2 linked regions of the Lepisosteus oculatus genome follow. Each later gene encodes a partner of the first gene's protein in a complex. Links are inferred from orthologs where the notes say so. Each region holds a gene or a part of one and is shown on either strand. Other genes may lie near its edges. The genes, in order: tonsl and mms22l.

The links.
Region 2: tonsl (region 1) and mms22l share a complex: the UniProt entries of both Homo sapiens proteins name them as parts of the MMS22L-TONSL complex. The link is inferred for Lepisosteus oculatus from reciprocal best matches to the Homo sapiens genes TONSL and MMS22L.

The regions. Positions count from the first base shown.
Region 1 is NC_090705.1:22,085,135-22,092,387, forward strand, and holds the start of tonsl (tonsoku-like protein), read right to left. Parts: upstream 3,218-7,253; 5' UTR 3,007-3,217; coding exon 2,982-3,006; intron 2,548-2,981; coding exon 2,452-2,547; intron 2,288-2,451; coding exon 2,145-2,287; intron 1,617-2,144; coding exon 1,433-1,616; intron 1-1,432. Other genes in the region: zftraf1 (zinc finger TRAF-type-containing protein 1), read left to right, coding at 5,696-6,010. UniProt on the Homo sapiens protein: Component of the MMS22L-TONSL complex, a complex that promotes homologous recombination-mediated repair of double-strand breaks (DSBs) at stalled or collapsed replication forks.
Region 2 is NC_090697.1:32,372,336-32,379,548, forward strand, and holds the start of mms22l (protein MMS22-like), read left to right. Parts: upstream 1-3,942; 5' UTR 3,943-4,024; intron 4,025-4,757; 5' UTR 4,758-4,797; coding exon 4,798-4,961; intron 4,962-5,250; coding exon 5,251-5,376; intron 5,377-6,370; coding exon 6,371-6,423; intron 6,424-7,213. Other genes in the region: PC3-like endoprotease variant B, read right to left, coding at 2,494-2,500. UniProt on the Homo sapiens protein: Component of the MMS22L-TONSL complex, a complex that promotes homologous recombination-mediated repair of double-strand breaks (DSBs) at stalled or collapsed replication forks.

The sequences.
Region 1 (7,253 bases):
TTTCTCATTAGTTCTGAAAATGTGATGAGACAAAACTCTGTTCCCCATAATCAGACAAGACGTTGGAGGTGATCCAAAATAAGCTTAGAGATCTGCCAAAGCTAATCTACTTTTTGCCAAAAGCTCTATATCAGTGAACTTGCACTTTATTGCCATATGTAACCAGTACATGTACTGTACTGGTACAATGGAATTTTTACTGACAGAAAGTCTCCCGATTGTTAAAAAAAAGTGTAAAACACAAAGTGCAGACAGTGCATCAAGACAATATACAAACAAACAGTAGTCAATGTACAAGTAAACAGCTCGAATGTAAACAATGCAGACATGTAAATAATGACTGCAGATGTGCAATTAATAAAATTACAATGAGGTAGACAGTATAGGTGTGGTCCGAGGGCATGGCGAAATATGTTCACCAATCACACTGCTTGTGAGTAGAAGCTATTGAGGAATATGGTGGTAAGTGTCCGTATGCTCTTATATCTCTTGCCTGAGGGCAGTGGGGTGAAGAACTCATGCCCGGGGTGGTCACTGTCCTCTGTGATGGCCAGAATTCTACCACGGCAGTGGTCCTCATACAGCTGTTTAATCTCTGTGAGACCACAGCCTATAATCTTCTGGGCCACATTCACCACTCTCTGCAGTGCCTTACTCTCTCAACGAGAGGTGTTGCCGTACCACACGGTGATCCCGTTGGTGAGGATGCTCTCGATGGTGCAGCAGTAGAAGTTCACCAACACAGGTACTGGCATCCCCCATCGCTTGAGGCACCTCAGGAAATAGAGGTGCTGCTGAGCCTTCTTCAAAATAAAGTCCGGGTTCACAGTCCAGGTTAGGTCATTAGAACTGTGAATTCCCAAAAACCTAAAGCTGGTGACTGTTTCCACTTCCATTCCATAAATACTGAGTGGGCTGTGAGTGTGTGGCCTGTGTCTCCGAACATCCACTATTAGTTCTTTTGTTTTACTCACATTCAAGTCCAGGTTATTGCTATAACACCACCACAGCAGCTGTACGACTTCATCCCTGTAAGTGGACTCGTCGTCATCATCATCGAATCATCATTGACATTATAGTGGTGTCATTTGCAAACTTAATGATGCAATTGTCGTTGTGTCTTGCTGTGAAGTCGTGAGTAAATAGGGAGTACAACCTTGGGCTCGGACAGCAGCCTTTCCGCACGTGGTCTCTCGATTAGGAAGGACTGTATGTCCAACCACAAGGATTGCAGCTCTTTCTGCTCCTATCAGGATTTGAATCAGTTCACTTGCGATCTCCAAGTACACACACTGCAACTCCCCAGACAGTGATAACTCTACGATGCCAAAAGGCCGGGTCCTCTGTCACAGCAGAATTCCACACTGTCGAGGGGGTGACATAACTTGCCTAACACTCTCAGTGCACTATTACACAGAGAAGTACCACTCACCCTCCAGCCGCTCATCCACGATCGCCAAGCTCTTCTTAAAGGCTTCCTCCGCCTGCAGTAAGCTGTCCTGTGATTGGTCAGACTCATAGCGGTACAGGAAGGTCCGCCCTATGGTGGCAAGGGCCCTCTGCTCCTCTGCTGCATCGTTGACTGAGCAAGCCAGAGACAGGTGGCGCCTCTGGTGCTGAGGGAGAGGGATAGGGATATGAATAACGGGGAATGAGAGGAAGTGAGATTCAGACCAGTGACGAAGAGTGAAAGTGGAAGTTGGGAGTTATTACTCTATAGAGCAAGAGACTGAGATGCTCATTCGTGGTCCTACTTTGCATCTTACCTTAAGCACCACCAAATGAGTCTATGTTCTTCATTACGATTAAGATTCTTTTAAAAATCCAAATTAACTAAATAAAAGTGCATCAATTTCAGATTAATTTCACATAAATTAAATTCATCAAGATTTGATTTTGCTTGAAGAACTGCAGAATTGCATTAAGATAATACACGCAACACTACTTTACTAACAAGCGAAATAAATTCAGGCCATATCGTAGGGTGTTATACACCTGGATCTTTTAATTCCTGGATCTAAAAACCTATGGACAGTGTCAACGGGGCTGAATAGCCTATTGGACTGTGAGAATATTCTCCAGGCTGTATGCTTAGTACACCAGCCTCTGTATTTTCAGTTTTCCCCAACTAGGCCATATCTTACCTTCAGTGCTGCCTCTATGTTGCCCAGCTCTGCAAAGCACTCTCCAATCTTTCTGTTAGCAACAGCACAGCCAATCACATCATGTAGAACCTCTGACAGCACCAGCTCCTGCCGGTGCTCCTCAATGGCAGCCTGGAAATCTCCTAAGAAGAGAGTGACATTACTTTTACTGTCGCAGTCACTTCACCGATCCACTCACTGACCATACATTTGACAATGGCGGTATACAGTAGGTGGGGGGCTACACTTCAATGGGGAACTAGTGGGTTTCCTACTCAATAAGCACTATATTAGTGTACACACTCACCATTCTTAGCTAGCAACTCTCCTAGCTGGTTGCACAGGTTGGCCTCTTCTCTCAGATTGTTAGTGCTCTGTGCTTTAGTCTTTGCTTTCTGCAGCTCTGAGGATAAAAAAAATGTACAGGTTTAGTGTCAGGATGTCTGTATTACATTTGAAATGCTACCAATTTCTATACAAGCCTACTAAAAGCCAACAGATCAGTGGAGAGTCACAAGATGTGCAGCAACAGGGATCAAAGACGTACAATCAGAAGAGTTTGAAGGTGAAAGTAGAAAAGGCAACGGATTACAGGAAAGCTAGGGAGAACATGCGCGTTACCAGGCTAGACGTGAACGAGAAGAAGAATCAGATTCAAAGGCACGGGCAGCATTAACCGAAGGTACAATCATTTGTATCTTTCCCAGCCATTTGGCAGCTTATATAATCTCCAAGCAAAACTCTGCCTTATCACATACTTGGATTGCATTGTCTTCAAAGGACAGATCGATTACATAAACCCTGCGAGTCCCAATTCAAACCCGCCGCCTAACTCACGCTTTATCTCCCGAGAGAAGCTCATCTCGCTCAGGCAACCCGATGTCCAGGCGCTCCGATCTCCAACAGCTAAAGGCCTACTTGGTTATCTCCCTGTGTGTCTCCGTTTAATATATTCAGTGTGTCAGTCCTCACAGATGACAACACAGGTCATCTTTAAAGAATTAAAAACAATTCTTCACCCGACTGTATCTGTTGTCCATTTTCTCTTCACAATAAACCGCGCACCCCACCAATTCCGCCTCCTCCTGTCTCCCATTGGCTACTCAAAACTGCTTAGCCAATAGCTACTTTGCAATTGTTTCAAAGGTGTGACGTTCTTTCCGGAAGGCATTTCTTTATTTTGATTAGATGAGAGGAATATCAATCATATCTAACTACGTCATCTATTATAAACAAATGCAGTGTAGTTGTACTGTAGTACAAGCATCGACAATAAACATGGAGTAGAATTACAGTCTTACAAATACCTGTTTATATTTTGAAGGGAGATGTTATGGACTGTTTTGAGAACTATATATTTGCATTTTTCTAACTAAAAGTCCTGCGTTCCGACATTGGTTATTGTATAATGAAATATATTATTATTGTAATGGATGAATTTAATTAATTCATAAATTCATGTAGAAACTATGGTAGGTTTATTAATACACAGTTTTAAAAAGAGTAGGAATTGTCTGTCAAAAACTCTAGCTTGTCTTTTTAAAAATAATACAATCAGGGATGATTGTAAACTATTACCCTTTGCATTTTAGAGGTAATTACTTCACACCATAGCAATAGGAACGTTATATACAATAGGTCGCTGTTCCCGAGTGTTTTATTTGACAAGTTGTACATTTAAAAAAAAATAATGGTTTGAGCTACTTGCAAATGTAATACAGCAATGCTATACTGTAAGTTTAGTGAAATGTCCACCAGCGGTGTAAAACAAAACAGAAATCGAGAACATGTAAACTATAAGAGATTCAGTAGTTTTATTTCGACAGAATTAGCGTAACAAGGTTGTCATTATGCACCGTAAAGGTACAGTAAGATGAGAAACTTTAAACATTTTAAGCATATATACATATATTGTAATGCTCTCAGGTTCACATGGGTATGCACCCTTATTGCTGCCGTCTCAGGTCGCTCTCCCACCCCCACCGTTGGGGACTCAAACCCGGGCCAATGGCGTCACTCAACAGGGACCAAACCAGTTGAGCTAAAGGGAAATCTGCAGGCCCTGCTAATCACAGGGAAGGGCTCCTGATATTCACGTATTAACAGCTATCCAGTAACAACAAGATTGACGTTATATAGAAATATCCCAGTTGTGGTGTTCTTTAAGTCCTTCATAGCCATTTATACTACAATTTGGAAGTAAACAGTAGCTTTATGCGACACAATATATAAATAGGAACATTCCCAACCTTGTCTAAATTGTAATTTATTTAACCGCTGCTGCAGTTATTCCTGTTTTTACTTCTTGGTTTTATTTCAAAATAAATGCTAGAAAGAATTATTTTTAAGACCTCCCTATTTAGGAATTGTCCTTGCTTTAACAATGTCACAGACCCGAGCCAGTTGCACACAGCCGGACTTCCGGTGCCATTTTTTTTCTTCTAGACAGTTACTGCACACAGGAAAATCCATATTAATTACGTTCTGAACTTCAGGGTTTGTGATTGTGCTGTAGAGTTTAATTACAGTGCAGAATACAGAGGTACACAGTAAAAACTACAGGGTATTCACCTTTGCAACTGCAGAATACAGAGGTACACAGTAAAAACTACAGGGTATTCACCTTTGCAACTGCAGTGCACTGCTCAAAGTTAAAATTCAGAATACCAAAACGCGGTGTAGTGGTTGCCACGGTGACGCCTGGTAATGACGTCCTATTTCTCCTCTATTTGTTTCAGACTTTCTCCAGTCACCTTTACAGGCGCTGCTCTTTATTCACCCGCAAGAAGTCGTAAAGAGAAGAATAAGTACGTAAGAGGCCCCTGTCTTTTTAAATATCCCTGTCACCTGACTACACAACGCCACATTAACAACCAATCCTGGATGGCACACAGGACTGGCAAGTGAAGCCACCGATAAGTACTGGCAAACATTAACAGCCTTTCCCCAACAACGATTCTGATTGGTTCCACTTGTGACCCTTGTAGAGTAATCCTAAAACAGATTGGGGGACGTTCAGGAGTCTTTTTGAGAGGAGGAGACGAATAGAAGAAAAACAAAGATGGCTGCCCAGTCCAGGAGTCGATGTCAAGCTGAGTCGCGATAGAGACGGAAAGTCGGAGCGGATCTGGTCCAGAGGAGCTCAGCGCTGGTTGGGTAGGAAGAAAGCGGAGGATCGATGTACTGAGCCCGGGGTGCCGGTGATCTGGAGGCTGGGTGGTGACACCGAGCAGTAAAGACAATTCAACGTGTGTTGTTTTGTTTTCAGCTGAAGCAAAATAGATCTATATTTTGAGTGTTGGGAAAATGTAAAATTTCTTTCATAATAGACATCAGCATCAATATAATTCAACGGTTTCTCATTAGATGCAGACGTCACTTCTTGGGCATTACAAAATTGCACCGCTATTATTGCATCTAATATTACGAAATATAGTGTAACCACTTTTCATTGCACAGCTGTACATTCAGTTTGGGGCGCACTGCGCGTCTGAACTCGGGCTGACAGGCAGGCAGGCAGACAGACAAAGAGACAACCCGCTGCATCCCCGATGTCTTCTCTAGAGGAGAGGGGAGATGTGGGGGTCGCGGCTGTCGCTACTCCGGGCTCCTCTTCCTCGGCCGGGCTTGGGGTTGGGGCGGTGGGAGCCGGCCTCGAAGCGGGGCCAGGGGGCGCCGGGCTAGTCGGAGGACAGGACGAGGCTGGGTTGCGGAGAGAGGGACCGGGGCCTGAGGCCGACCCGGACGCGCCGCCCAAGAAGCGGGTGAGACTGCAGGAAGGCGAGGCAGGGAAATTGGAGGAGAGACTGTACTCTGTCCTGTGCTGTACCGTGTGCCTAGACCTGCCCAAAGCGTCCGTCTACCAGGTAAAACAAAATATTACATTACCGAGTGTCTGTTGTGTTTTGGTAAAATGACTGACAAAGAGAAATGAGTAAGAATTGTGAATCGAATGTAGAACCGAAATTGCAAGTGTGCTGCAGCTTTGTCATGTAAGTGCATTGTGAGTTCATAACATGAAATACTGTATTGAATCGGCTGTCTGCAGTGTGTGCCTGTTCGGGCTTGCCAAAATGTCGTGCCGACTTAAAAAAAAATACAATAAACTGAAGCCTTTCGTAATATTGAGTGTGTGCTGGTGTGTAACACAATGCGTCCCTACGCCGCCTGGCTGTGTGTAGACATCATACACATCAGGGCCCGTCCACCATGTCACCTTTCTCCAGGTAAGCGATGATTCCACCAACGCCATTACACAATGACACGTAATAAAATCCTCGAGTCTCTCCCTGCTGCTTCAGATAACTGTAAGAGATGCTGCATTCCTGCAGGGCAAAACTGCAGATCATCTCTTTACAGCCTGTGATATTTTAGTGCAAAGGTTTCCATCAGAGCAGCTGGAAAATTGAAAGCAAGCAAAAAAAAACAGTACCAGCGAGAATCAAGTTCTAATTTAAGCAAAGACTATAGGAAAGGGCAGGGGTGTCCAACCCTGGTACAGGAGGGCTTTCAAGGTTCTGTTTTTTTTTTACTGAAATGATGTATCTTAATTTGCATTCTTAATTGTTGCTATCTTAATTTGTCAACACTGATGTGATTTTTAACTGCTGAAGGAAAAGATCCTGAAAAACTGAAGGATTCATGGTTTTCAGGATCAGGTCTGGGGACCAGCAATATAAATATTAAGAGGGGTGAATTTTTGTTCTAATTTGGCAGTGATCATCATAAAATGGAAGATATGTATATATACTGAAGTACAGGTAGCCTGTAACAATGCTTAGCACTGTGACTTAATGTAGTCTTTCTAGCCTCTTTAATTTGTATGTTCATTTTTTACGTGAGAGCTGTGGCAGACTCTTCGTTTAAATCACAAGGTTACTTCTCAAGATGTACATTTCTTTCTCCAAAGCTTGAACTTTGCTTCAGAGATGGCACTCAGCTGAATCGTGAAAAAATAGCTCATTGTTAAAAATCTGATCGTCTTATCCTCAGGAAGTTCTGATCAGTGTTTGATTAAAACTAAAGTGATTACTTAGGATAGTAGGCAGTAGTTAAGTTTTACACTGCTGCAAAAAGCTCTTGTGTCTAATATACTACTTAATATGATCT
Region 2 (7,213 bases), on another chromosome or scaffold:
ACATTAGTTTCTACTGTAACACACTCATGAAAGTCACTTGGGTGGTCTTTTGGATCAGAGGCTATCAAAGACTATGGAACAGTAGTTACTAAAGACACATAAACAAAGTAAAGAACTGGAGCAACACCATTTCCACAATTCCCCGAATACTTATGAACACTAATGCCTGTTTAATTACAGGCCAACTTTACTACACGGCACATTAAAATACCTAGTAGTTAACACGTCTAGTTAAATACAGATGAATTTTGAAGTTACTCAGTAACAGAAAGATGTTATTGTTTAGTAATACATTGGTGTTGGCATGGCAGGTAGCACTACTGCCTACTGTCTCACAGCTCCAGGGTTTCTGACTCAATTCTGGCTTGGGATGCCTGTCTGTGTGGAGCTTGCATGGTTGCCCTGTATTTGTGTGGGTTTTCACAGAGGATGTTTGTTCCCAGCACAGCCAGTGCAGGCTGTAGAGAAACCAAAAGAGCACAATAAGATGAATGATCTTGCCTTTTTCTAATTCTTTATGAAGAACTCCACATGTTCCGAAATACTACTCCCTTCCTGAAACTACATTTACAGTACTCCATTGACTTCTCAACAGAAGTTGCTATTGCAGCCTATTTGAACTCACATTTGTACAAAGATGGAAGACTCCCATGGCTTTCACTGGTAAAATATGGTTCTGTCTGAACATAAATAACTTCCTCTACAAATGAAATTTGGCTCGCCTAGCTAATTATGTACAGTTTAAAACCCTATCACATGACAGTAGAGGCTCTGAGTTCAACTGAAAATAGCTATTGTTCAGCACTGATAGAAATATCAGTGATTTATCTTTGTGTATTAATGCCAAGAGTGAGTTTATGACCATTAAACTAATCTTTAAGATCCTAATTTTAAGTCCTTTAACAGGAGTTGTGGCAGACATGAGAACTGCCTCAGTGATCAGAATCAGAATGTTGCGATTTCATATATTTTGCCATCCATTAACATGTGATATTGAACTTCACCACTTTTTCATAGAAACTCAAAAGTGGCCCCAAACATGTACATTGGAAAACACTTGTGCACACCTATATTTTAGTAAACATGTTTATAACAATGAATCCAAAATATAAAGTCTGAAGAAATAAAATATAAAATACACTTCAAATAAAAAAAAACTCAGTCAAGACAAATAGTGTTTTCTATTTAAAAGCTTACCTATGTACATTCCAGTACCTAGTTTCAGATGATATTATTATAGTTTACACTGTAGTTTATTTGTATTATTGTTATATTGGGGTAAGGTCTGGCCCAATGAGCCTTTGTGGCTCAAACAGATCTACCTACTCAGAGTTATCTTATTTTAACACTTTTATTTGTGTTTTGGGTGATTATAGTGAGATACAATGTGATATTTGCTGTTAAAAAATTAAAGTGGTGACACAGCTACAGGTACATATACAGTACTGTACCTATGTATCTTTTCTCATATTCATGCTAATTGATTGCTCTTGCTCAATCTCAGTTTGACTCAAACATACAATTTAAATAAGCTTTATGTTCTGTAATTAACAGGACTGCTGTCACACAGACAGAAAAAAAACAAGCAATTTCCCTGTTTTAAAAGGAATATCACCACCACATCAGATTGAATGCTTCAAAAACTTTGAGGAATCACTAGACCTACAGCAACAGGTGTAGTCTTTATATATTTAGCACAGTTTGGTTAATTAAAAGGAAATATAACACACTATCATTTTACCTCCTTTAAAGGCCATCTAGGGGATAACATTTCATTAGTCACACCATATAGTTTGTGTGAAATATGTGTTCCACTAGTTTAACATCTAACTGCTGCCTTGTGGAAAACTAATTACTGAGTCACTCTGTGAGCTTCATAATGTCCTGCATTTAAGTCTTGAACATCATACATAATGCATGGGAAGCAGTCTCTGCACTCTGATTACAGAACACTGTCATTAAATGAGCAAATTAAAGATGTGAATAATTCACAGACTGAGTGTATTGGCAGTGCTGCATTGTGAAATTAGAATTTCTAATAGGCACCGCAATTTTTAACCCAATTAACACAGAAAAAGAATAAAAATGTATAGAACAATAGTATGAATTTTACATTTATTGTCAGTGTAGCGGTGTTGAAAAACAGGATATCCTTCCACAACTTTTTTTCCCCACACAAAAGGCAAAACAGAGTCATTTTAAATTTCAGAATATATGTGATACTATTATCTGATGCATAAAAATGCTTTTTAATAACAAAGTAAAAATCAAAACATACAGTGTGGATTTTCTAATTAAATATAGATGTATGAAACGTGACCACATTTTCTTAGCTAATTGTTTTATTTGTTGCAAGTTCCAGGTTTGAACTGTCCTATCAGAGATTTTGTTTATGTTAGGAAAGGGTTAATTCTAAATTTCCCCAATGTTTAATCCTACTGTGTACAAAACAAAGGTCAACAGACCTAATTAGCACAATATGAAGAGTCTTACCTTCCATTCACGTTTCATCGGGATCTTTCTTTCTTGAAGAGTCGACTGTAGCACATCACATTGATGGTTTACTGACAAAGAGAATAATCTCTCATCAAAAATAATATCAAAACCTTTGTGCCTCGGCTGTTTTTTTCGTCTTCCATTTTCGCATCATAGTCAACGAGGAAAAAATCCGTTCCTGAGCTGGCTGTGTCAATTTCCACTTCATGGTTTGTAGACAGACTTGCCTTGCTACAAATAAAACAAAATGTTAGCAGAAACGCAGTGATCTAAAATCACTTCAGCCAACGATAACTGTTTAGATGTCTTTTCATTTCTGTGTAGAATTTACTGAAAAACGCGTGGTGGTACTGAATGCAGACACAATGCAATGGAGAGAGAAGCTGTCAGTGCAGATAAATCTGCATATGGAAATCAGGGTTATCCTGGGTCCAATTTTATTTAACTCTAGTGTACTGTTTTTTAATTAGAAAGGAACTCTCAGAGTCAGACTGTTCAAAAGAGCTACATAACGTTATTTTCATACACTTTGCGAACACAATTTAACATTATGTCATTGGCTTTAAAAAAATAATGGGAAGTTTTTTTCAAAGAAAATAAACCAGCGACCACAGTCATAACAAATGTACTGTACATCTTTTCTCCCCTCTAGGGAAGCCTAGACTAGTAATGAACAAACCTAAAATCGATGGACAGACATGAGCTCCTCTCATATATTTTCTTTATATAGACAAATGTAGAAAACGGCTTTTTAAAATAATTCTAGTTAAGAGGTAAATGCAATAATATTATGAGCAATACCATATAGTAATGTGGTACAGTATGCACCGAGAGTATGCAAAATCTTTTGTCATCACTCTCCAGCTGTTCCTTTCACCTGTTATCAAATGAGGATACTACAATGTTAGCTTCAAACTCGTAACCCTTGCCTTTATTTGCCTTACAGTCACAAACCCATTTCTGCTGACAGGTGTGTTGATAATGTTTCTTTCGCTCTTCATGGGTGCTCTCTATTACAATTTTAAATTTTAATCATTTTAATTACCGAATCAGTTTGGATCGAATACAGTATATGTTTTCAGTCCTTATTTGTATTCCCTGCCAAATGCCAGAAGAATTAATGGCCAAGTATATAAATGCCGCACTAGCTACTATCTTGCAAAATGTCTTGAAACAAGCAAATACTGCATAATATGTATCTCAGGATAAGAGTATGCACACAATGACATGTTACACTTATTTTGCATTTACTCTTATATATTACTAGTGTATTGTTCACGATACGTTAAAAACTATCCAGCAGCGGTTGAAAAGTTAGGACCTTACTTACTATTTGGGTAACATCATACGTGACGGGCACGTGACCGGAGTCTCGCTTTCTGCCGAACTTCTAGCCAATGGAAATGGAGGGGAGGGACTAGCCGCTCTCCCTGCGCATGCGTCTTCTGCCGAACTGGCGGCGCGGGAGAGACCAAAACACAAGGAGTTCTTTGCAGTAAAAAGGATTGGGCTTCCTGTGTGTGTGGTTGTAAGTTATAGGAATTTATTCATTTTAATCTTTGCAATTTATGGCTTTGCTTTCAGCATTTCGGTGTGAAGGAAACAGACGTTAGCATGCTGTAGGCTGAAGTTCTGGCTATTGAATTACATAACATGGGTTGGCCTGATTATTAATCACAAAGGATGGGTTAAAAAGTTAATCGGTCTTGTATTATTAAATAAAATTAGTAAAATGACCGCAATGGGCTAAATTACAGAATCAGAAACTGCAAAAATGTAGGTTTTGTATGTGTACTTTCTGTTTACAGGTGTAAGTTTGTTTGACATACTATAGCTGTATTTCTGCTTTGCTGACATTTCGTGCACTGTAAGTAACGCTGAGCAACAAGTAATTTCAAACGAACGATATGAAGCCACTGTAGATGTCATAACCATAAAAAGAAAATAAAAATAAACAGTTTAATCCTCAAAGCATTTTCAGTCTAGTGGTGTTTAACGAACCTTTTATCAAGAAAAACTAGCTATTCAACATATAAAACCATAAATACAATTTGAATTAGAGGTTTCGTTTCATAACGTACAATAGCCATTTATTGTGACTATTGTTCGAGTCAACAGATCAAATCGTACTGTAGTGGCAGCTGCCTTGATGAATTTTATACCTAGCATTTTTATCAGCTTGCTTTTAACCGAAAAATGTTGCAAAGACACAAAGGTGATTGTTGATTTGTGATCAGTTCGTAACCCTTCACAAATCGCAGGTCGGCGGCGTGTCTGCCTTTTCAGCTTCTTGAGGCGGAAATGGAGGACGACTTCAGCCCCTCGCTTACTCCCCCCGTGTCGCCCTTTCTGCTGGACAGTCAGTGCGAGGCGAGCTCTGTCCCGCCGCCGTGCTTCTGCTGCGTGTCCGAGCCGAGCAGGGCTTTCTCCTCTGAGGGCTACATTACAAGCGGGGCTCTGAAGAGGTAAATTCAAGCAGTGCCAAGTCATGTACCCCTCCTCGTCCTGCACTCACGGCAGTACCATTTGACTGTACCATGAAATGTGTGTACTTAGGGTCTGAACATTTTGGAAACATCTTTGTCCTCTTTCTGATTTTCGGTCCAAAAGTCTAAATTGCTTTGTAGTTCCTTTCAGTAAACACTCTAAATGCAAATTTTGACTGTGTTGTTACTGTCCATTACAACAAGTTATACCTTACTTTGACTGTCATGAAAGTCTACTGAATTGTGTCATTTTTAAATTTACCTACAGAATCCTGCTAAGACTGGATCCTTCCCCAGCTGCATATGAAACCGATACTGTGGAGATCTTTGGCTTTCTCTGGGTGACTGAAACTGCACTGGTGGAGTCTGCTAAGCTTCTCTTCAGCTTGCTCAAGTAAGAGAGTGGGAACCATTGAGCTACCTCCCTCCCTGGAGCAAAGCTCATTCTTTATTGCAGTCATATTTACTGCGGTGGCTCTGAATGGCATACAGTGCGAGCTAAAACCCCTTGAAGGGATGTTGCTGCATGTAGCACATCCATTCATGGGCAGTTTTGAAATGGTGTGGAATTTTTATTTTGCAGTAATGTCCACCACTGCTGTAATTACTGTAAATGGTGGCACTGTGGCTAAGGATCTCTGCCGGTGGCTGGAAGGTTGCCAGTACAAATCCAGCAGCCGGCAGAGGAATCCTACTCTGTTGGGGCCCTGAGCAAGGCCCTTAACCCCAGCTGCTCCAGGGGTGCCGTATAAATGGCTGACCCTGAGCTCTGACCCCAAGCTTCTCTCTCCCTGTCTGTGTGTCTCATGGAGAGCAAGCTGGGGTATGTGAAAAGACAAATTCCTAATGCAAGAAATTGTATATGGCTAATAAAGTGATCTTATCTTAGCATACCAAACCACGGTATGTACCACAAACAGTTTTGTGGGGTCTTTAATGATCTTTAACAACACCACCTACAATACCAATTTTTCAGTAATGATCTCCCATCCCAGTACTGACTAGGTTCAGCTTTTGTTAAGCGTCTGAGATCGAAGAACCTACAGGGTGGTAACAGAGTTGTCACCTAATTCCCATTCATTCGACAAAGCAAAATTAATATAACATTTCAATGGAACTTCTTGAAAACCCACTTAAACTTCTAGTTTTATGACTTTTGTTAGTCTACAGTGCATTGAATGGAAATATGAATTCTGTACCATTTTAACCATATTTACAGACCTTAGAAACCTCATTTAGATTCAATCTAGTATCTGTCTGCATGTAGAGTGAAGGTATTTTGTTTATGGAAGGTTTCAGATATGTGTTTGGTGTTTTGCAGGTGTATGGTACGTTTCGTTCTAGTGGTGTTTTTGAAGATTTATTAACACTGCTTTCATTTTTTTCAGACAAAAAGTACACAGATTGGAAACCCTGGTTCAGTCCAACACGCATGATTTTGGTAAATGTTTTTATTTTACTTGCTAAGGTTCTCTAATACTGTACTAAAAAAGGAGACTGAGGAAAGATTAATTTGATTAAAATACGGGGAATTCTAAATCACTATATGTAAAGATAGTCATAAAGTTCGAGACTGCGACTTACAATTACTTAGACTGATTCTAAACACAAACCCCAACAGCTTTGCCTGAAATATTTTTAAAGAGCAGACAACCCACTACTCCATACCTGTGTGCTATATTAAGATAAACATTAAATATCCCCAGATTAATTGTTCCAAGCCTTTATACAGTAATTGCTGACACTACACACTGAAGTGAATGGGTATAGCAACAAATCTTCATTTATATTTTGGGTTTGTTTATAAAGGTAATTTGCCAATGATTTTTTAGCAATAGTAATGTAAATGGTTAATTTACTGTTCAGTTTTAAGTACGATTGTAATATCTCAGCTCTTAATACTAAGGTATGGATGTTGGCTCAAACATGCCTGTTGGCACATTCTGACCCAGTCTACACTCACTTTTAGACACTAGCTCTTTATTTTTAAAATAAATTGCTTTTTACTGTATTAATTTGTGCACACCTGTCTCCATTATTTGATTGTTTTGTTGCCCAACTCCTTGATATATAACCTGAATGAAAACACAGGAACATAGTTACTAGTATTGCACTACTGTCTTAATATCTATTGTACCTATAGTTGTCAAGCAATTTTTTTCATACATTTAGAATCGCCAGTAAATTTTAAACTGAGTCTTTGCGTCTCGCCTCACAGCTTCTGGAACCTT